4 linked regions of the Arabidopsis thaliana genome follow. The protein of the gene in region 1 interacts with the protein of each later gene in a pairwise test. Each region holds a gene or a part of one and is shown on either strand. Other genes may lie near its edges.

Region 1 (3,390 bases):
CAGCGAGTTTCTCATTTCTAACACAAGATAGAGTCAAATATTCAAAACGACGAGATGGAGGTTTAAACAGCATAGGCAAACGTGGTCCCTTTCGACCAAAAAAGTAAGTATTTCCCTTCAAAGACACGCTATTGTGACTAAACAGTTCATGCCAATCTATATCAATATCAAGAACCCTCCATGAATCAGAGCTAAAATCGTAAACATCAATAATGACGTTTCTTGGACTCCCCTCATAAAGAAACCTCAAAATTTTGTGGTTACGGTTGTTGTCGTATCCAAGAGCAAACTTGTCATATCTGTGGAGTTTTTTTCTTGGTTGAATCAATTTCGTCTGCCCTAAATACGGATTCCATACCATAACACTCGAGTTGTCTTTGGCGATGCATAACAATAAGCCATCACAGTGATAGACTTGAGATATCTCGACTTGATCAACTTTATTAGGTATACTTATTTGCTTTATAGATAGATCAATCAAATCTTCTTCGCTACGGATTCCTTGAAGATCTAATCTCAAAGAACAAACCCTAGAATCTGTAACCATGAACTCCAAGAACTGATTCTTTGCTGCTGCTTTTTTACCTAAGATGTCATATTTCGATATAGCGTTCCACTTTTTACAAGTAGATCTCACTGCTCTTAGAGATGTCAATGGAACCCTAGAAAATATTTCTCTTACCAAATCATCCGGTAGATCGGTTACTGTCGCCATTCTTCCTCCAAGTTTTCAGCTTTCTCCACAAGTTTAATGTCTCATTGACCTATTCGGTACCCTAATATGTTTGTATATGTGTTTTGGTTGGGCTTGTAATAAAGTTTTGCTTTGGCACAGATTTTTTAAATGGGCCTATTATTTGGAAAAAAATAAACCATCGAATCCTTAACTATATCATATGGTAAAATTACGAAATCGTTTAGCAACTGATTTTCAGTTTTACTTAAAAACTACGAAGCTCTTGATTTAGTTCGTAGAGTGCACCACCACATATTTAGTAATCTCTTTATAGATCAGATGATATGTGACTAACATAAATTTCCAGAGTAGATGAGTGATGACTATATATTAATTGGGAAACTTTGACATCTATCACTTTTACGATTCCATTTCTCAAAATAAACTACTAAAGACTTTTTTTTTAAAAGGATGCAAAAGAATCCTAAGATAGAGTGTTTTGAGAAGTCTATTAGCCCATGGAACTAGAGTTTTAGCTAGCAAAAGCATATAAATTTATGGTTAGAACATCCATGGAAGGTAACTTTGTTTGAGAGTTGTCCTCTCAAAACAACTCTCTTCCTTCATCTTAATAAGAGTATCAATTTCGAATCATAGTGTTCTTGGTGACAACGAAGTAATATTTTCTCTATCAGTACCCTTGCATCATAAAGTTTTAATAATCTATCTAAGTTCTTAGTTTCTATCTTAATAAGTTTGAATCTTTCTTCTTTTGAGATTGCTTACAAAAAAATCATTCAAGAATCAATTTATAAAACCTTATATAACTTTATAAATATTTTCTATAAAATGTATTTAAAGAAATTATAAATCCTTTTGTGGTGTTTTTGAAAAAAAAAATTAGTGATAGTTATGAAATGTATCATAAAAATTGTAGTTTTCAAATTCTTCCTCAAGAATTTGATTATACGGGTTGTTGCTGAACATAGAGATGAACAAAAAGAAGATATGTGTTGAAAACATTGGAATGTTGCCAAAGTCGTCATCCTAACTAAACCAATATACCGAATGATTTATTGTTTTTGTTTTATTATCGAATTAAATACAAAAAGATTACTGTAACTGTTGAACAACCTCTAGTCTTTCTAATATATTCTGATTAATTCAACGTTATAGGTGAGGAAGGTAAGATGTTGGTAAAAGTCATGCATGGAAACAACTTCACAAGACAAAACTTTGATATAAAATAAAGTACATATAATACATGTTGGTGCATTAGTATTACTAAATACAAAGTTGTAGATCCATGGGAGATCAACAAAAAATTCACCCGGTTCTTCAAATGGAAGCCAACAAGACGAAGACAACAACACCAGCTCCCGGAAAGACAGTCTTGCTTCCGGTTCAACGGCCGATTCCGCCTCCTGTTATTCCTAGTAAGAATCGAAATATGTGCTGCAAAATCTTTTGTTGGGTGTTAAGCCTTCTAGTCATTGCATTGATCGCGTTAGCAATTGCGGTTGCGGTTGTATACTTTGTTTTCCACCCTAAACTCCCGAGTTACGAAGTCAACAGTTTACGAGTTACCAACCTTGGAATCAATCTAGACCTCTCTCTTTCCGCGGAGTTTAAAGTCGAGATCACAGCTCGTAATCCCAACGAAAAGATTGGGATTTATTACGAGAAAGGAGGTCATATCGGTGTGTGGTACGACAAGACAAAGCTATGTGAAGGCCCTATACCGAGGTTTTATCAAGGACATCGCAATGTAACTAAACTAAATGTGGCTCTAACGGGAAGAGCGCAATATGGGAACACTGTCTTGGCGGCATTGCAGCAGCAACAACAAACAGGACGTGTACCGTTAGATCTTAAAGTGAATGCACCTGTCGCCATCAAACTCGGAAATCTGAAGATGAAGAAGATTCGGATATTGGGGAGTTGTAAGCTTGTTGTTGATAGTTTATCAACGAACAATAATATCAACATCAAAGCTAGTGATTGCAGTTTTAAGGCCAAACTCTGAGATGTTCTTAGATCTAGGCGCTTTTACTTTTTATTGGTGTTAATTACTCAATTCATCATTTTCTTATGCATTTGATTCATATTTTGGATTAATGGTTTTATTCTCAATAAAAGATTGATTTTTATTTTTTAAATTACGAGAGATTTTTGAAATTTCAAAATATTGCAAATGAATGGTTCTTTTCCGCTTAACATAATTTCTATGAAGTAGTCGGAACGAGACTCTCTTCTAGAGAGAGAGAGAGTCATTCAGGAACCGACGTGCTTACATGGGAAAAAAACCTATTGCGATCTCATGTCTTTTTCCAAGGCAATCGATCCGCACATTAAAACGACGAGAAAGAAAATTAATACTAGAAGAGGGAAAAAAACATACAAGGGAACCAAATGTCGTCATCTCAACTACAAATGTTGGCTACACTGAAAGTTTTTCAATAGAGATAAGATCTTCACGGTCGAAAGCAAAAGAGCAACTCGTAACACCTATCGAGATTATAAATTCTATTGCCCATAGCATGGAATCAACTTCAGCATGAATGGTTTGGTAGTGTGAATCACATCTATACTATTTTTTCAATGGTAAAACTTTCGAAAATTACAATAGAATTGAAATATAAAATTTCGAGAAAATTCAAACGATCTCGAGTTTAATTCATCCCAAGTAAAAAAAGAAGTAAAAATCGAAGAAA
Region 2 (5,765 bases), on another chromosome or scaffold:
GATGACAGTAGATCATCTGGTTATATTTATGCAGAATTGAAGGCTCTTATTCTAGTTGGAGGATTCGGAACCAGATTGAGGCCACTTACCTTGAGCATGCCTAAACCACTTGTTGATTTTGGAAACAAACCCATGATTTTGCATCAGGTAGGTTAGCTTCTTCTTCTTCTTTTGTATTTGCTCAAGTTTTCACAGTTTCTTTTGTTCTCATTATGATGCATTCGCAGATTGAAGCTCTAAAAGGTGCTGGAGTGACTGAAGTTGTATTAGCTATCAATCACCAACAACCAGAGGTACATACATTCATTGTCCTTAATAACGATACGATAACAATTGAAATTCTTCCGTGTCATCCTCCTTCTCCTTGTGTGTTTGGTATTACTCAGGTCATGTTGAACTTTGTGAAAGAATATGAGAAGAAGCTAGAGATTAAGATTACATTTTCCCAAGAAACTGAACCGCTTGGAACAGCAGGGCCTCTCGCGCTGGCTCGGGATAAGCTGGTCGATGAATCAGGCCAACCCTTTTTTGTACTAAACAGCGATGTTATCTGTGAATACCCATTGCTTGAGATGATCGAGTTTCACAAGACTAACCGTGCTGAAGCATCAATCATGGTGACCGAGGTAGTCAAACAGGAGCATTTTCTGCATTTTGTGAAGTTTATCTTTCATCTGTTAATAGCATTTTCTGATATTAACAGGTTGATGATCCTTCTAAGTATGGTGTGGTGGTTACAGAGGAAGGTACAGCGAGAGTTGAAAGTTTTGTCGAGAAACCGAAACATTTTGTGGGGAACAAGATCAACGCTGGGATATACCTCTTGAGCCCATCTGTTCTTGACAGGATTGAGCTGAGAAGGACTTCGATAGAGAAAGAGATATTCCCTAAGATAGCTTCAGAGAAGAAGCTTTACGCGATGGTACTACCTGGTTTTTGGATGGACATTGGTCAACCGAAAGATTACATAACCGGGCAAAGAATGTACCTTAACTCTCTAAGAGAGAAAACTCCGCAAGAACTGGCCACAGGGGATAACATAATCGGGAATGTTCTCGTGCACGAAAGTGCGGTTATAGGAGAAGGTTGCTTGATAGGACCTGATGTGGTGATTGGTCCGGGATGTGTGATTGATTCAGGTGTAAGATTGTTTGGTTGTACTGTAATGCGCGGTGTGTGGATCAAGGAACATGCGTGTATCTCTAATAGTATCGTGGGATGGGATTCAACCGTTGGAAGGTGGGCTCGAGTTTTTAATATAACGGTTCTTGGCAAAGATGTTAACGTCGCCGATGCAGAGGTTTACAACAGTGGGGTTGTTATCGAAGAGCAAGGTCTGTGAAACCAGAGCCTAGACCTAGATTAGTTAGTTCCACTGTTTCCAGAGTCTTATGAACCGCAATATTCTTACAATTTAAAACAGATACAAACTCTATGGTAAACCATATCATAAACCGGTTAAAAATGGTATTCGACACCAATAGAGAAAAACGTTTTTCAGATCCATCCCTAAGCAAGTTGTGTATATTTCTTTCGTAAATGTTTTGAGACATTCTTATAAGGGACATATAAATTATTGTAGATAAAGCCTATGTTTCTTAAACACGAAACTGTGATTTATTAATAGACTATAGTTTGGTGTATGTAATTAACGTTGAGAAAAATGAAAGACGTGACGGCAGAGAGAGAGAGAGTGGACCCGACCCGGACGGCACGGAGACACTTTCAGTTTCTTCTTCTTCTCTTCTGTCTTTGTGATATTTCTCTCAAAATCAATATTTTTTCATCTGTGAAACGACTTCGTCTCCTCCCACTCCATTGTCACTTTCTTCTTCACCCTTCTCTCGTCTCCGTCTGATTTGGCGTGTAACTTCTTTCTACCGTAATTCTCCTTCGTCTTCTTCTCTGGTATATCTCTTGCATTCCCTCCTAATTTCTTAGCCAATTACTGTTTGGAATGATCTTCATTTTGTACTTCCCATTGCTTGATTTTGGTTGACACCTTTCTCGTTTAAGATCGTCTCGTTTTCATGCTGAAAACTCAAGTATTTAGTTTTTTCGTTTGTACCCTTTTGTTGATGTTTTGGTTTGGGGAGAAAATGTGGTTCCTTTCAAGTTTTTTCCGTCAATTTGAGTTCTCAGGTCAACGAAAATGGATGGATGTTCTTAACCCATTAACCAAGTTTGATTTTTAGAGAGATTCTGTAAACAAACAATAACATTTTTTGTGCTTGAATTATTTTTATATTTATTGCAAGTTTAGGATTTTGCTGCTTGAAATGATTTTGATCATAAATGTTTATTACATTTTCTTATGTGTGTAAAAACAGGTTTGGGATTCATGAGTTGAGTCACAAGGAAAAAGCATGTTAGACTGTGGCAAAAAAGCAGTCAAATCACAAGTAATCAGTGGCCGTCTCGAGAAGTTTGTAAGGTAACTCTCATTATTGTATATAGTTGATCGAAATTTAACATGATGATATCATTCTAGCAGATTCAGATATTGTTTAGCCAAAAAGGACATTCCTTTACTTCAGGTTTGAAACTAAATGGATATCTTTAGTTTATTTTGTTCTTCACAGGTTGGATAGTATGGATTCTAGGTACTCGCAGACTTCTGATACTGGTCTAAACAGATGCACTCTCAATTTACAAGGACCAACACGTGGTGGTGGTGCTCAGGGAAACAATGTATCTTCTGGTTCCTTTAAGAAAGGGTTTAGAAAAGGTTCTAAAGGTCTTTGGTCTATAGGAAGATCAATTGGTTTAGGGGTTTCACGAGCAGTTTTTCCTGAAGATCTTAAAGTATCAGAGAAGAAGATTTTTGATCCACAGGACAAGTTTCTTTTGCTCTGTAACAAACTGTTTGTTACTTCTTGCATTCTCGCTGTGTCTGTGGATCCGCTCTTCTTGTATCTTCCGTTTGTTAAGGATAATGAGAAATGTATCGGTATAGACCGGAAGTTGGCTATTATAGCAACAACGCTGCGGACAGTAATTGATGCGTTTTATCTTTTTCACATGGCTCTTCGGTTTAGAACAGCTTTTGTCGCCCCTTCTTCTCGGGTTTTTGGTCGAGGCGAACTTGTGATTGACCCTGCACAGATAGCAAAACGTTATTTGCAGCAGTATTTCATCATTGACTTTCTCTCTGTGCTTCCACTTCCACAGGTAATAACAGAAATGCCTCTCCCAGTGTTCTCTTATCTTCCATTGTTTCTTTGTTCTCTAAATTTTTATGACTAGTTTATGTTATTCTTTGGATTTTTCAGATTGTAGTTTGGAGATTTCTTTACATCTCTAAAGGTGCAAGTGTGCTAGCAACAAAGCGGGCATTGCGATCTATCATTTTAGTTCAATATATTCCAAGATTCATTCGGTTGTATCCTTTGAGCTCAGAGTTAAAGAGAACAGCTGGTGTTTTTGCTGAAACTGCTTGGGCTGGTGCAGCTTATTACTTGCTACTCTACATGCTCGCAAGCCATGTCAGTACATACTATCTTTGGTAGCTTTCCTCTTATATTCTCAAAAGATCCATTCATCACTCTCTCTTTTTTCCCTTATGTTTTTATCAGATTGTTGGGGCTATATGGTACTTATTGGCCTTGGAACGTTATAATGGATGCTGGACCAAGGTTTGCAGTAATAGCAGCTTGGACTGTCACAGAAACTTCCTGTTTTGTGGTAATGAAAAAATGGATGGTTATGCAGCTTGGACTACCATCAAAGATTCTGTTCTGCAATTAAATTGCCCAGTTAATACAACCGATAATCCTCCTTTTGATTTTGGGATCTACTTAAGAGCCTTGTCCTCTGGCATTGTCTCATCTAAGAGCTTTGTCTCTAAGTACTTCTTCTGTTTATGGTGGGGACTTCAGAATCTCAGGTACGTAATTCTAAAGAATCCGTCTTCTATAGTCATTATGAAAAGTCTCTGTTGCATTAGTAACTTTGTCGATGTCAAATGCAGCACTCTTGGTCAAGGGCTTGAAACCAGCACATACCCTGGAGAAGTTATATTCTCCATAGCACTTGCCATTGCTGGACTTCTTCTCTTTGCTCTTCTTATTGGAAACATGCAGACTTATCTTCAATCCCTTACAATCCGGCTTGAAGAAATGAGAGTGAAAAGACGTGATTCAGAACAGTGGATGCATCATCGAATGCTTCCACCGGAACTGCGAGAACGAGTCAGACGATATGACCAGTACAAATGGTTGGAGACACGCGGAGTTGATGAAGAGAATTTGGTTCAGAACCTCCCAAAGGATCTGAGAAGAGATATCAAACGCCATCTCTGTCTGGCTTTGGTTCGGAGGGTAAGTTGAATCTTACTTTAAAAGCCTTTTTCTAATCTTGATTCATAAATGAAACCATCTTGTTCTATTTTTCTTATGGAAAGGTTCCATTGTTTGAGAATATGGATGAGAGGCTGCTCGATGCAATCTGTGAGCGGTTGAAGCCGTGTCTGTACACAGAGAGCTCTTATTTGGTTCGGGAAGGCGACCCGGTTAACGAGATGCTCTTCATTATCCGTGGTCGGCTTGAGAGTGTGACCACCGATGGCGGAAGAAGCGGTTTCTTCAACCGCAGTTTGCTTAAAGAAGGAGATTTCTGTGGGGAAGAGCTTTTGACATGGGCACTTGATCCCAAATCTGGTTCCAACCTACCATCCTCTACCAGAACCGCAAAGGCTCTAACTGAAGTAGAGGCTTTTGCTTTGATAGCAGATGAGCTCAAATTTGTGGCTAGCCAGTTCAGAAGACTACACAGCAGGCAAGTTCAACACACATTCAGATTCTACTCGCAACAATGGAGAACTTGGGCTGCTATCTTCATACAAGCCGCGTGGCGACGATACGTGAAGAAGAAGAAACTTGAGCAACTCAGGAAAGAAGAAGAAGAAGGAGAAGGATCAGTTACTAGCATCAGAGCGACGTTCCTGGCTTCAAAGTTTGCTGCAAATGCACTTCGTAAAGTTCACAAGAACCGTATTGAAGCAAAGTCTACTATAGAACTTGTGAAATATCAGAAGCCTTCAGAACCTGATTTCTCTGCTGATGATACTAGTTGACCAAATTTTACCAGAAAAGTGCTAATGTCTATGAACGCTTATAACTTGTATAACTCGGATTGAATTTTATTGTTTGATTTGTGTTGCTACATTAAGATAAAGAAAAAGGTGGTAACATAAAAGATTATTTGTGATTGTGATTTGTTTTATATGTGTTTCTTTCTGTTTCCTGAAGATAAAATATGAAAGATACTGCAGGTTTATTGAGAGATGACATAGTTTTTGATAAGTTCATACAGAGATAACATAGTCTCGGATCATCAACCTTTCAGGAAGTTTTTGCAGAGCTTCTGCCATAGAATCCTGTCTGGTTGCGCAGTCTCCATCGTACTCTTTGCCTTATCCGCAAACTCTTGCTGAAAAAAATCAATCACATTGCAATTCTTGATAAGGCTAACTACATTGAGAACAAGAACACTCCGAAATGTTTATCTAGCAAAAATAGAGATCATAGAGAAGGAGAACAAACCTCCATCAGCTTCATATTAAGGACTCGGTCCACAATCTCAAACAGAATCTCTTTGTTATACTCTGGATGCCCTTGAATACAGAAAAAATGATCTCCAATAGAGAACATCTCGACGTTACATACCTCAGAAGAAGCAAGTAGTGTAGCAGACTCAGGAAGTTCCAACACTTCATCCTGATGACATTTTATAATAGCTAAAGATGCTGGGACCTCAACGTCTCC
Region 3 (5,231 bases), on another chromosome or scaffold:
ATCGGTACCAACATAAAAGCCACCACTGTTCCAACAATCGTCGCAACTACAACAAACCAACTCACAAATTAATAAACCACTCAACACATCATCAATAACAATGTCACTTCACAATCAATCTTTTTAACTAAAACCACTCAAAGACATAAACTTTTGTTAGTCTTAAGCATGAATCCAAACTAATCCCAATCCAAAAACTTGCCTTTAAGCAAAAGACTAAATCTTTACCAGATCCAATTAAGAATGCAAGAAGCAATGATCCAGTAGATCGGATAATACGACGGAGATCAGCTCTAAACAACAACAATGGAATCGTATGCGGCAAGAGAAACTCCATGAAGAAGCCATACGACGGCGTTTCAAACGGAATTAACCTTAAATTGCTAGCGGCGAGCCCAAGTAACGTACTTGTCAACGCACCACTCACCATACTTCCAATTTTCGTCTTCTCCGACCTAATGAAGTCGGTAATTTCATCAGTATACAAAACCCTAGTTTCAACAGAGAGGATTGAGGTGATTTACCAGACACCGAAAGCTCCGGCGGCGAAGAGAGCAGCCCATTGTGACCAGTGATCGTCTGGGGAGATTAGAGGGAATCGTAGTTGTGAGTAGACCTTCACGCGCCGGCGTCGAGATGAAACAAGACGATGTGGAGTGAGTGTTACCGGCGGCGATTTGTTACGGCGTATGGTTATTGATGATGATAAGTGGTGGCGGGAAGGAGACACGTGGAGCGATGAGATTGTGGGGGACAGTGGATTTGGTGATACCACTGTGAATAGAAGAGCCATTGCACTTTTTAGATACACCAATTAATGTTTGAAGTCCCATATTATACTTTTGGAAACTTATTTTTTTTGTTTCCTTATTCGGCTAAACAAATTTATTGAGATATCAAATTGACGAGAAGCATATTAATATACCACATAATGAATATGATAAAAGTTTAAAATAAAATTTAACAATATTTTTTTTCTAAAACTTTACTCTATTTTCTATTTTTGTAATCTATTTCTTGATACGAAAAAAATAACAAATAAGAAATAAATAAAATCGATAAAGAAAGTAACATAACATAGGAAGACGAAATATATAAGAAGAAAATATAATGAATAGTATGAAAAAAGAAAAATAGTAAAAAAAAATTATGATTAGCTTCGTTTGGTGGAATTCTCTTCTTTTTAGTGTTTTCATGTATTTTATTGTCTTCTTGTTTATCAAGAAAAAGAAGTTAATCTAGACTTTGATAAAATGATGGATCATGGATGCCCATAAAAAGAGTACTTCTAATTTTTTTTCTATAACTTTTTTAAAAAGGATGCATTCACTATAACAAGGTTTGTTGTATGAATAAAATTTTACATACACTCAGAAAAAAGAAGAAAAAAAGAAGAAGAAGAGTACTTCTAATTTGGTGACAGATGCTTCCTTATATTTCCTTCTAATTATTAAATTAGTATCGTTTAGGTCTATTGGAATTAATGAGTGAAATATTAAACCTTGCCTACAATACACTAATTAATTTATTTTTTGTAATAATGTGTCGGTCCAAACCTTGTTAGTTACGCAATTAATACCATAATAATCACACCACCTACGATGAGTTAATCCGTAACACCACAAATTATATCTCAAAACTGTTTCTATCTAATTCAAAAATGAATCAAACATCCCTACTCATAGCGTACACAAATGATTAACTAAGAATTACCAAATCAGTGAAAATCAACTATATTTAATAGAAAGCAAAACTTTTTGAAAATGATTGCCACCGAATCACAAACAAAATCAGGTTTAAGCTTCCTTTGGTTTCCCATTGCTGTTGACAAACTTCGCTGCCTAATGATTTCACAAACACTTTCTCTTTCACTTACCTTTAGTGGGAAAAAAATACGAATACAGAGAAGTGACAGCAAAAACCCACTTTCTAGTTTCTCCATCTCTTCTTCTCTTTAATATCATCAAACCAAAACCTTTCTCAAACCTTCCCCAAAAAAGCTTCACTCTAATGGCGTTTCCAATAAATCTAACCCAAACCCTTCTCTTCTTCTTCTGCCCTCTTCTTCATCTCTCTTTCGCTGCTTTCACTCCAACTGATAATTATCTCATCAATTCCGGTTCTAACACCAATACATCTTTCTTCACAACCCGTTCTTTTCTCAGCGACTCTTCAGAACCTGGCTCGAGTTTTCTCTCCACCGATCGATCCATCTCGATTTCTGACACGAACCCATCTCCAGATTCACCCGTTTTGTACAACACAGCTCGTGTTTTCCCCGTCGGAGGATCATACAAATTCCAAGTCACTACCAAAGGCACTCACTTTATCCGTCTCCATTTCGCGCCTTTTAAAGCTTCGAGATTTAACTTAAGGTCTGCTAAATTTCGAGTTTTGATTAATGGGTTCTCTGTGATTAACAGTTTCAGTACTAGCTCCGTCGTTGTTAAAGAATTCATACTCAAAATCGATGACCCTGTTTTAGAGATTTCGTTTTTGCCCTTTAAAGCTTCTGGATTTGGGTTTGTTAATGCGGTTGAAGTGTTTTCAGCACCTAAGGATTATATAATGGATCAAGGAACGAAGCTTGTGATTCCTAACTCTGCTCAAATCTTTAGTAACTTGTCATCTCAAGTTCTTGAGACTGTTCATAGAATCAACGTTGGTGGTTCGAAATTGACGCCGTTTAATGATACGTTGTGGAGGACTTGGGTTGTTGATGACAACTATCTTCTCTTGAGAGCTGCTGCTAGACGTGCTTGGACTACTCATTCTCCGAATTATCAAAACGGTGGTGCCACGAGAGAGATTGCTCCGGATAATGTTTATATGACTGCTCAGGAGATGGATCGAGATAATCAGGAGTTGCAGGCAAGGTTTAACATTAGTTGGGGGTTTCAGGTTGATGAGAAACGAGTTCTTCATTTGGTTCGTTTGCATTTCTGCGATATCGTTAGTTCGTCGCTTAATCAGCTCTATTTCAATGTCTTTATCAATGAGTATCTTGCGTTTAAGGATGTTGATCTCTCCACGCTTACTTTCCATGTGCTTGCGTCTCCGTTGTACATTGATTTTGTTGCGGAGTCTGATCGTTCTGGAATGTTGAGGATTAGTGTTGGACCGTCTGATCTTAGTAATCCGGCGAGAGTTAATGCTCTATTGAATGGAGTTGAGATCATGAGGATTTTGAGCCCTGTGAGTTCTGAAGTGGTATCTGGAAAGAGGAATGTTGTCTGGATCGTGGTTGGCTCGGTTTTGGGAGGTTTTGTGTTCTTGTCGCTGTTCTTCTTGAGCGTTTTGTGCTTGTGCAGGCGCAAGAACAACAAGACGAGGAGTTCAGAGAGCACGGGATGGACACCTTTGAGGAGGTTTAGAGGCAGTTCCAATAGTAGAACAACTGAAAGAACTGTTAGTTCTAGTGGCTACCATACTCTGAGAATCTCGTTCGCGGAGTTACAATCCGGAACCAATAACTTTGATAGAAGTTTAGTTATCGGAGTTGGCGGATTCGGGATGGTTTTTAGAGGGTCTCTTAAAGACAACACCAAAGTAGCTGTGAAGAGAGGCTCTCCTGGTTCAAGACAGGGCTTACCAGAGTTTCTCTCTGAGATAACCATTCTCTCTAAGATCCGTCATCGCCATCTAGTTTCACTTGTTGGGTATTGCGAAGAACAGTCTGAGATGATTCTTGTTTATGAGTACATGGATAAAGGACCACTCAAAAGTCACTTATACGGATCCACCAACCCGCCTTTATCTTGGAAACAACGGCTTGAGGTCTGCATTGGTGCAGCCAGAGGACTTCATTACCTTCACACCGGTTCTTCGCAAGGAATCATCCACCGGGATATCAAATCCACCAATATCTTACTAGATAACAACTATGTAGCCAAAGTTGCAGACTTTGGACTCTCAAGATCCGGTCCTTGTATTGATGAGACACATGTGAGCACCGGTGTAAAAGGAAGCTTTGGATATCTTGATCCTGAATACTTCAGAAGACAACAGCTCACGGATAAGTCCGATGTTTATTCATTTGGTGTTGTTCTTTTTGAAGTTCTTTGCGCTAGACCCGCTGTTGATCCGTTGCTTGTTAGGGAGCAAGTAAATTTAGCAGAATGGGCAATAGAGTGGCAAAGGAAAGGGATGCTTGATCAGATCGTTGATCCGAATATCGCAGATGAAATCAAACCGTGCTCGTTGAAGAAATTCGCTGAAACCGCAGAGAAATGCTGTGCGGATTACGGTGTAGATAGACCGACAATTGGCGATGTTCTATGGAACTTAGAACATGTGCTTCAGCTTCAAGAATCCGGACCATTGAACATTCCTGAAGAAGATTATGGAGATGTTACCGACCCGAGAACGGCTCGGCAAGGTCTGTCTAATGGCTCGAACATAGAGAGAGACTATGGAGATGGAACTTCAGGCATAATCAGTAGCACCCAAGTGTTCTCTCAGCTAATGACCAACGCTGGGAGATAAATTAAAGTCATTGCTATATAGAGCAAGTATTTATCATAGTCATAGAGTACAATACCTAAACCGGGAAACCAAAGCGGTGTACCGGTATCTCAGATTCGGTTCGTGTTTGGTATAATTTTGTTTGGTTTCTGTAACTTGTAGAGCTATGATTGTTCATTTGATATGGATGAATCATAAACCGTTAAAACCAGTACATTATTTGGTTAAATATTAAACCGGTTAAGAGTGGAGAAATTAAAAACCGGAATCTCAAAAGTTCTTGATAAACCGTAAACCCTGTGAAGCCACAACGCTCAGAAACATTTCTGTCTCTGTGGAGACAGCTGAAGAAGCAGCAGCACTATCAATGGCGTCTCTGAGATTGTTCTCAACGAATCATCAATCTCTTCTCCTTCCATCATCTCTCTCACAAAAGACTCTAATATCTTCACCAAGATTCGTCAATAACCCTAGCAGACGGAGTCCAATACGATCCGTTCTTCAATTTAATCGCAAACCGGAACTCGCCGGAGAAACGCCGCGTATCGTCGTTATCACCTCCGGAAAAGGCGGTGTTGGAAAGACGACAACCACCGCAAATGTCGGTCTCTCTCTCGCTCGTTACGGTTTCTCAGTTGTCGCCATTGACGCCGACCTTGGTCTCCGTAACCTCGATCTCCTCCTAGGGTTAGAGAATCGAGTCAATTACACTTGCGTCGAGGTTATAAACGGAGATTGTCGTCTCGATCAAGCTCTGGTACGTGATA
Region 4 (6,018 bases), on another chromosome or scaffold:
CGCGTACCACAAACACCGGTGAAAAGAAACCTATATCTTAAGGGTTTGTGACGTGAATATGATGAATCCAATGGAGCATCCTCATAGAGGATTTAATCAATCAGCATTGATCACGCCAGTACACTTAGACGTGATGCACCTCATGGATAGAAGGTTGGTCTTATCGCTGCTAGGAGGACTGGTCGTCTCAAAGTCAAAGGTCAAGTTGTTGCTTCAGCCGCCAAGGTCGACAAGGGTTCTTAAACATAAACTCTTTTACTATTTTTTTAAAGGTTTTAACTAGACTATCCATAGTAGCTCAAGAAAGAGAGATAGAAACATGGAACTTTTGCAAATTGTAGTCCCAAATATCTTTTATTTTAATATTTGTCTTTTATCCAAAATATGAATTTGTAATTCTCTGTTAGGAAATTGATTTGCAGTCATATAATTTACATGAATTTTTTAATTATATGTTACGAAATATACATTTTTTCTGTATGTGTTGCACACAATTTTTTTAAAAATATATGAATACTTTAATTTTGTTGATATATAAGCGATGTTATGAATCACCAGGAATAAATATAATTGGATACAACATTTAGACATATTGTAATAATTCATTTAGAAACAAAATCGAATCCCAGACTGACTGTAAGAAAATAAACATTTGATCAACTATTAAACTAAATGATTTTCATAATCATTACATAGATTTAAAACAGTAAAGAGTTACAAATATTTGGTGATAAATTGGTAACAAATAGTCTATTCATTTGTGTTAATGTTATTGTTGTAACATAATTAAAACCGCATATTACATGTTATTAAAAATAACAAATATACTTTTAATAGATAGTGATATTTAAAAATAAGAAAGAAATCTAGAGTAGTTACAGTAGGGCCTTTTTTATATATTCTAATCCTAATTTACTTTTTTTTTTGTCAAACAATCCTAATTTACTTTATTAAACTAAATGATAAAGTTTAAGAAAAGGTGCAAAAATAATAATTAAAATATTAAAAATAAAATAAAGAAGAAAATATAATTCTTGTGATTTGTGTTAACCTTTCTTTTATTTGTTTGCCAACAATGATTGTAAATTCTAATTAATAAAAAGGAGGCTATGAGGAATATAACCACTTTTGAAAATCTGTTTTTTTCCTCTATAATGAATGATGAGTTAGACTTTTATTAAACAAAGTTGAAATCGCCGACAAAAAACAAACAAAACGTTAAATCTTTCATCAGTTGAGTTAATGTGATATGGAAATTTTTCAAATAGTTTAATGGTCTAAAATGATATTTTAATTATTATATATATCGTCTATAATTCATAATATAGACATAAATCAAATTGAAATCTACATTACGACATAGCTACAACACTAACATTTTTTTATCCAACACTTAAAATTTATTGGAAACGTATATATTTTGTTTTTATTTAATGTAATAATATTTTGTCTTCTTTCACATTTTAAGCAGGTTATATATTGACTATAAATGTTTCACAGATAGATGCATGTTGATACATTTTTCCTTGTATACAAAATACACATTACAGTTAAATAAATTTATTTATTTCTGGCTTACAATTAGAGATATTACTGTGAAGTGTGAACATGCATTAGATGGGAAAGAAATATAAAACAATTTCATTACATAAAATTGGGATCTATTACTAATTAAATGTGGAATAATCTTAATTTTAGTCAAAGTTATAGGGACACATATTTAAATAAAAGTGATATCTTTCTTTTCTAAAAGACAAAATTGAAAAGCAAAATGTCTTCTTCTCCGTTTAGAATAGAACAACAACAAAAAAAAAACTGTCTTTGAATCCAAGTCTCTCTCTTTTGTCACCATCTCTGTTACTTACTAAGAAACTTCTTTTTCTTTAATGGTTTTTTTGCTAAATACCCGTAATATTATTAATTAAAGCATTTTCCTTTTTCTGCTAAATCTTGCTTTGCTCTTTAAGCTCTTGTCATTGTTGTTAATTGTCTCCTGGAGGCTGGAGGCTGGAGATTATTTGGTCTTTTGTGATGACTATAATGTGAGAAATTCTGGGTTTTGCTAGAATTTGAAGAAATCTTTGAGCAAGGAGGAAAAAAGAATGAGACTTTACTTATCTTCAACGATGCAGCTTTCTCTTATGAGTCTTGTTCTAGGGTTCCTCTTTGTTTCCTGTGACGCGTTTGCCTCTAAAGAAGGTATTTTGATTTCTCCATTTTCTCCAATTTTTGGATGCTGAGAAAGTTTAGTCTTTTTAGCCTCTGTCTGTTAACACTTGCTCATTGAGTTGATCTAGAAAGTTAGAAACTTTAGTTTTGTTACTGATCATTTAGAAGTATTTGATGTTTTGCTGTTTTGTATTCAGTTGAAGCAGTTAGAAGATTCAAGGAAGCCATTTATAAGGACCCATTGCTAGTTATGTCTAATTGGAATGTCCCCAATTTGAGTCCTTGTGATTGGAATGGCATTAAATGTTCTCCATCTAAGGATCACATTATCAAGATGTAGGAAACTTTGATCTCTTTCTATCAGTAAAATCAGTTATGTTTAGTATGATGATGATTTGGTATCTGTTTCATGCTGTGAAACTTGCAGAAATATATCGGGGACATCGATGAGAGGGTTTCTTGTGCCAGAACTTGGTCAAATAACCTACTTGCAAGAACTGTATGGTTTTGATTCATATTGACAATACCTGAAGATATAAGTTTGATGATTGGTACTGTTTGTAAATGTTTAGATGACTTTGTTTTTTCTGTGTTGAATGCTTCTTTAGGATCCTGCGTGGGAACATTCTAATGGGGACAATACCAAAGGAGATAGGAAAGTTAAAGAAACTCAAGATCTTAGACCTGGGAAACAATCATTTGACAGGACCGATTCCAGCAGAGATCGGGAAATTGTCAAGGATTAAGACAATGTAAGAAAATCTTTAAGAGAATGTCATCTATCCGATAATGTGCTGAGATAACCATTTTGTGTCTCTTTAACACCACAGAAACCTTCAGTCCAATGGTTTAATAGGAAAGTTACCTCCAGAGATTGGAAACTTGAAGCACCTTAAAGAACTTCTTATTGGCAGGAATAGGCTTCGAGGAAGTATTCCTATTGCCGCGAAAACATCAAAAAAGTGAGTTTAGCTAATAGTCCAAGGTAGCATAAGATGGAAACTTAATGTTTATGATTGAAATGTTAATGTATCTTCTTTTTGTGTTGGTCAGGTATGCTTCAAATCCAAGTGCAAACATCAGTGGTTTGTGCAAGTCTTCTCTATTTAAAGTGGCAGATTTCTCTTACAACTTTTTCGAGGGAAGAGTTCCGAGTTGCTTGGATTACCTCCCAATGTATTTCTTATAAGACCCTTTTTCTAGCTTTCCTTTATTTTTCTCATTTGATAATATCTCTCTGTATCATTGAACATCATTGTAGAACGAGCTTTCAAGGAAACTGCATGAAAACCATGGATGTTAAGCAGAGACCTCTTTCAGAATGTGGTTTGTAGAATATGAGTTTCACTTTCTTGATGCTGATAATCGTTTCTTTATCTTGTTTTTCATTTTGAAATTGTTTCAATTGGTTAGCTCGCTTAGCTGTAACCGTGGCCAAGAAGAAGCATCGAGCATCGAGACAAACATGGCTTCGGAATTTTGAGATAGTCACGGGATCATCAGTTGGCTTGCTCTTTCTAGTCGTAATGTTCTCTGCATGTAGCTTGTGCAAAATAAAGCGCTCTCTCATCGTTCCCTGGAAGAAATCTGCAAGTGAAAAGGAGAAGTTCACGGTCTACGTTGGTTAGAAACTCTTAAAAATTCTAAGATTTCAATACAAATAACTGAAAGAGCTTCCAGAGATGAAAAAATTACTGATAAACTGTTTTTCTACAGATTCTGAAATGCTGAAGGATGTTTCAAGATATACAAGACAAGAGCTAGAAGTAGCATGTGAAGACTTCAGCAACATCATTGATTCTAGTGCAGAGAGTCAGATTTACAAAGGAACGATCAAAGGCGGGACTGAGATCGCGGTTATCTCTCTCTGCGTTAAAGAAGAAAATTGGACTGGATATCTTGAGCTTAATTTCCAGAGAGAGGTTCTTCTTCTTATGGTTGTTTATCACCAAGTCACTTGCAAGAAAACATCAGTATTAAACTTGATTTTATTAATATTCATTGTTTCAGGTTGCGGCTTTGGCTAGATTAAACCATGAGAATGCGGGGAAATTACTGGGATACTGTAAAGAGAGTACACCGTTCACAAGAATGCTTGTGTTTGAGTATGCATCAAACGGGACACTATACGACCATCTCCACTGTAATATATAATCAAACTTCTTCAGAGCTCTTTCTTTGGTAGGACTGATAATGATACCAAATGATGATAAAAATTTGATGCAGATGCGGACGGGAGTTTAGTATCGTGGGCAAAACGCATGAAAATTGTTATAGGCATCGCACGTGGTCTCAAGTACCTTCATACTGAACTCCATCCTCCATTTACAGTCTCTGAGTTGAGCTCAACTGCAGTGTATCTCACTGAAGATTTTACTCCCAAAGTAAATTTGATCCTCTTTTTTCTATGCGGTTAGCTAAGCTTTGCTACTATCTCTATACTCTTATTTTGATCCTCTTATTTCTATGCAGCTGGTTGATTTCGAATGCTGGAAGATTATTCAGGTGAGATCAGAGAAGAACCTGAAGAATATCTGTAATGAAGGAGCAATATGTGTACTTCCCAATGCAATGGAACACCGAGATATGGATTTACAAGGGAATATCTACTCATTTGGCATACTTTTGCTGGAAATTGTAAGCGGAAGACCTTCTTATTGCCAAGACAGAGGTTGCTTGGTTGAATGGGTAAGAATAGCTTTTCTCTATAAGCTTAAAGCTGAGTACTTATAATAAGTCTCTCTCTCTCTCTTAGCGGTTTACGTGTTTTCATGCGTTTGATGCTGAGGATTTGATTCAAACTCCTAAATATTGCAGGTAAGGGAGAAAAACCTTGGTGCACCAGATGTGATGGCTAGCTTGGTGGATCCTGAGCTCAAGCATTTCAAGCAAAAAGAACTTGAGGCAGTATGTGAAGTGGCAAGCCAATGTCTGAACTTGGACCAGAATGAAAAAGACAAGGATAAGCTTTCTTGTTCGATTCAAGCGCTTTGTGAGACACTAGAGAGTAGAATCACTGTGTCCATTTCTGCAGAATTCAAATCGTCTTCTCTGGCGTGGGCCGAGCTAGCGCTGGCCTCGCCTTCTAACGAAGACGACGATGATAGGAGTAAATAAAATTGGCTTTGTTGTTATGACATTGACATACACTTGTTCGAACATTTTTGCTTCAATTTTGCATTCGGTTTTGATAGCACCGACCATGCCTTGGATAAGTTATCAGGTAGGTTGTTACGGTCGGTCTATTGTTAATACCAATAAACTGGAGGTGTAATCTTGTATACCAAGTTCTTGACGAATGAAATTGTGTTGAGCCAAAAAAGAAAAAAATGACAGGTAGCTTGAAACTAGAGGAATACATCTGTGAACCGAATAAAAAGTTATAAACTCTCACCTTTTCAAACTAGTTTTGGACTTCAAACAACAATCAGAAAGAAAAAGTAAAAGTACAAAAAAGAGACAAAATCGTTGGCATCTGAAGTACAGGAGATGTTTGTTGTGTAGGAGAAACAAAGATCAGTGCATAGAACGAGAGTAATGGTTGTCATTAGGGTTTCTTTTCTGGCTGAAAACCGACATAGCTTTTCTCACAGGAGGCTGCAATGGCGCCTTTCTATCACTATGATGGTTCAAGAACACATCATCTGATACGAAGTACTCATCACCCTGCAAACAACAGCATAATTTACCTTAAGATTTCAATCAAAGTTACAGATTTGAGTTTGAGATAGAAGACACGAAGAGACTAACCGGTTTGCTTGCTTTCTTCTTGGTCCTAGGGTGGAGAAGCTTTTGAGGGAGTTGATCTTCCCGTAGAATCAGATTCTTGGTGATTGCCTCTCTTCCTCC

Evidence for each region.
Region 2: the proteins of AT1G54540 (region 1) and CNGC9 interact in a protein complementation assay, tested with the Arabidopsis thaliana proteins (one large-scale study listed by BioGRID).
Region 3: the proteins of AT1G54540 (region 1) and AT5G24010 interact in a protein complementation assay, tested with the Arabidopsis thaliana proteins (one large-scale study listed by BioGRID).
Region 4: the proteins of AT1G54540 (region 1) and AT5G41180 interact in a protein complementation assay, tested with the Arabidopsis thaliana proteins (one large-scale study listed by BioGRID).

What each region holds. Positions count from the first base shown.
Region 1 is NC_003070.9:20,367,014-20,370,403, reverse strand, and holds AT1G54540 (Late embryogenesis abundant (LEA) hydroxyproline-rich glycoprotein family), read left to right. Parts: upstream 1-1,892; 5' UTR 1,893-1,982; coding exon 1,983-2,702; 3' UTR 2,703-2,851; downstream 2,852-3,390. Other genes in the region: AT1G54550 (F-box and associated interaction domains-containing protein), read right to left, coding at 1-715.
Region 2 is NC_003075.7:14,926,283-14,932,047, reverse strand, and holds CNGC9 (cyclic nucleotide gated channel 9), read left to right. Parts: upstream 1-1,692; 5' UTR 1,693-1,908; exon of another isoform or gene 1,909-2,045; intron 2,046-2,330; 5' UTR 2,331-2,366; coding exon 2,367-2,434; exon of another isoform or gene 2,435-2,582; coding exon 2,583-3,171; intron 3,172-3,272; coding exon 3,273-3,485; intron 3,486-3,575; coding exon 3,576-3,886; intron 3,887-3,970; coding exon 3,971-4,319; intron 4,320-4,402; coding exon 4,403-5,074; 3' UTR 5,075-5,214; downstream 5,215-5,765. Other genes in the region: AT4G30570 (Glucose-1-phosphate adenylyltransferase family protein), read left to right, coding at 97-147, 228-293, 387-626, 704-1,342; GGP3 (Class I glutamine amidotransferase-like superfamily protein), read right to left, coding at 5,335-5,430, 5,544-5,765. UniProt on the Arabidopsis thaliana protein: Putative cyclic nucleotide-gated ion channel.
Region 3 is NC_003076.8:8,111,900-8,117,130, forward strand, and holds AT5G24010 (Protein kinase superfamily protein), read left to right. Parts: upstream 1-1,854; 5' UTR 1,855-2,010; coding exon 2,011-4,485; 3' UTR 4,486-4,730; downstream 4,731-5,231. Other genes in the region: AT5G24000 (keratin-associated protein (DUF819)), read right to left, coding at 1-46, 229-455, 525-793; MIND (septum site-determining protein (MIND)), read left to right, coding at 4,832-5,231.
Region 4 is NC_003076.8:16,481,943-16,487,960, forward strand, and holds AT5G41180 (leucine-rich repeat transmembrane protein kinase family protein), read left to right. Parts: upstream 1-1,817; 5' UTR 1,818-2,102; coding exon 2,103-2,199; intron 2,200-2,366; coding exon 2,367-2,505; intron 2,506-2,596; coding exon 2,597-2,668; intron 2,669-2,704; exon of another isoform or gene 2,705-2,777; coding exon 2,778-2,921; intron 2,922-2,999; coding exon 3,000-3,131; intron 3,132-3,222; coding exon 3,223-3,345; intron 3,346-3,430; coding exon 3,431-3,495; intron 3,496-3,582; coding exon 3,583-3,792; intron 3,793-3,885; coding exon 3,886-4,091; intron 4,092-4,179; coding exon 4,180-4,312; intron 4,313-4,395; coding exon 4,396-4,553; intron 4,554-4,641; coding exon 4,642-4,857; intron 4,858-4,986; coding exon 4,987-5,286; 3' UTR 5,287-5,485; downstream 5,486-6,018. Other genes in the region: AT5G41190 (RNA-binding NOB1-like protein), read right to left, coding at 5,686-5,835, 5,920-6,018.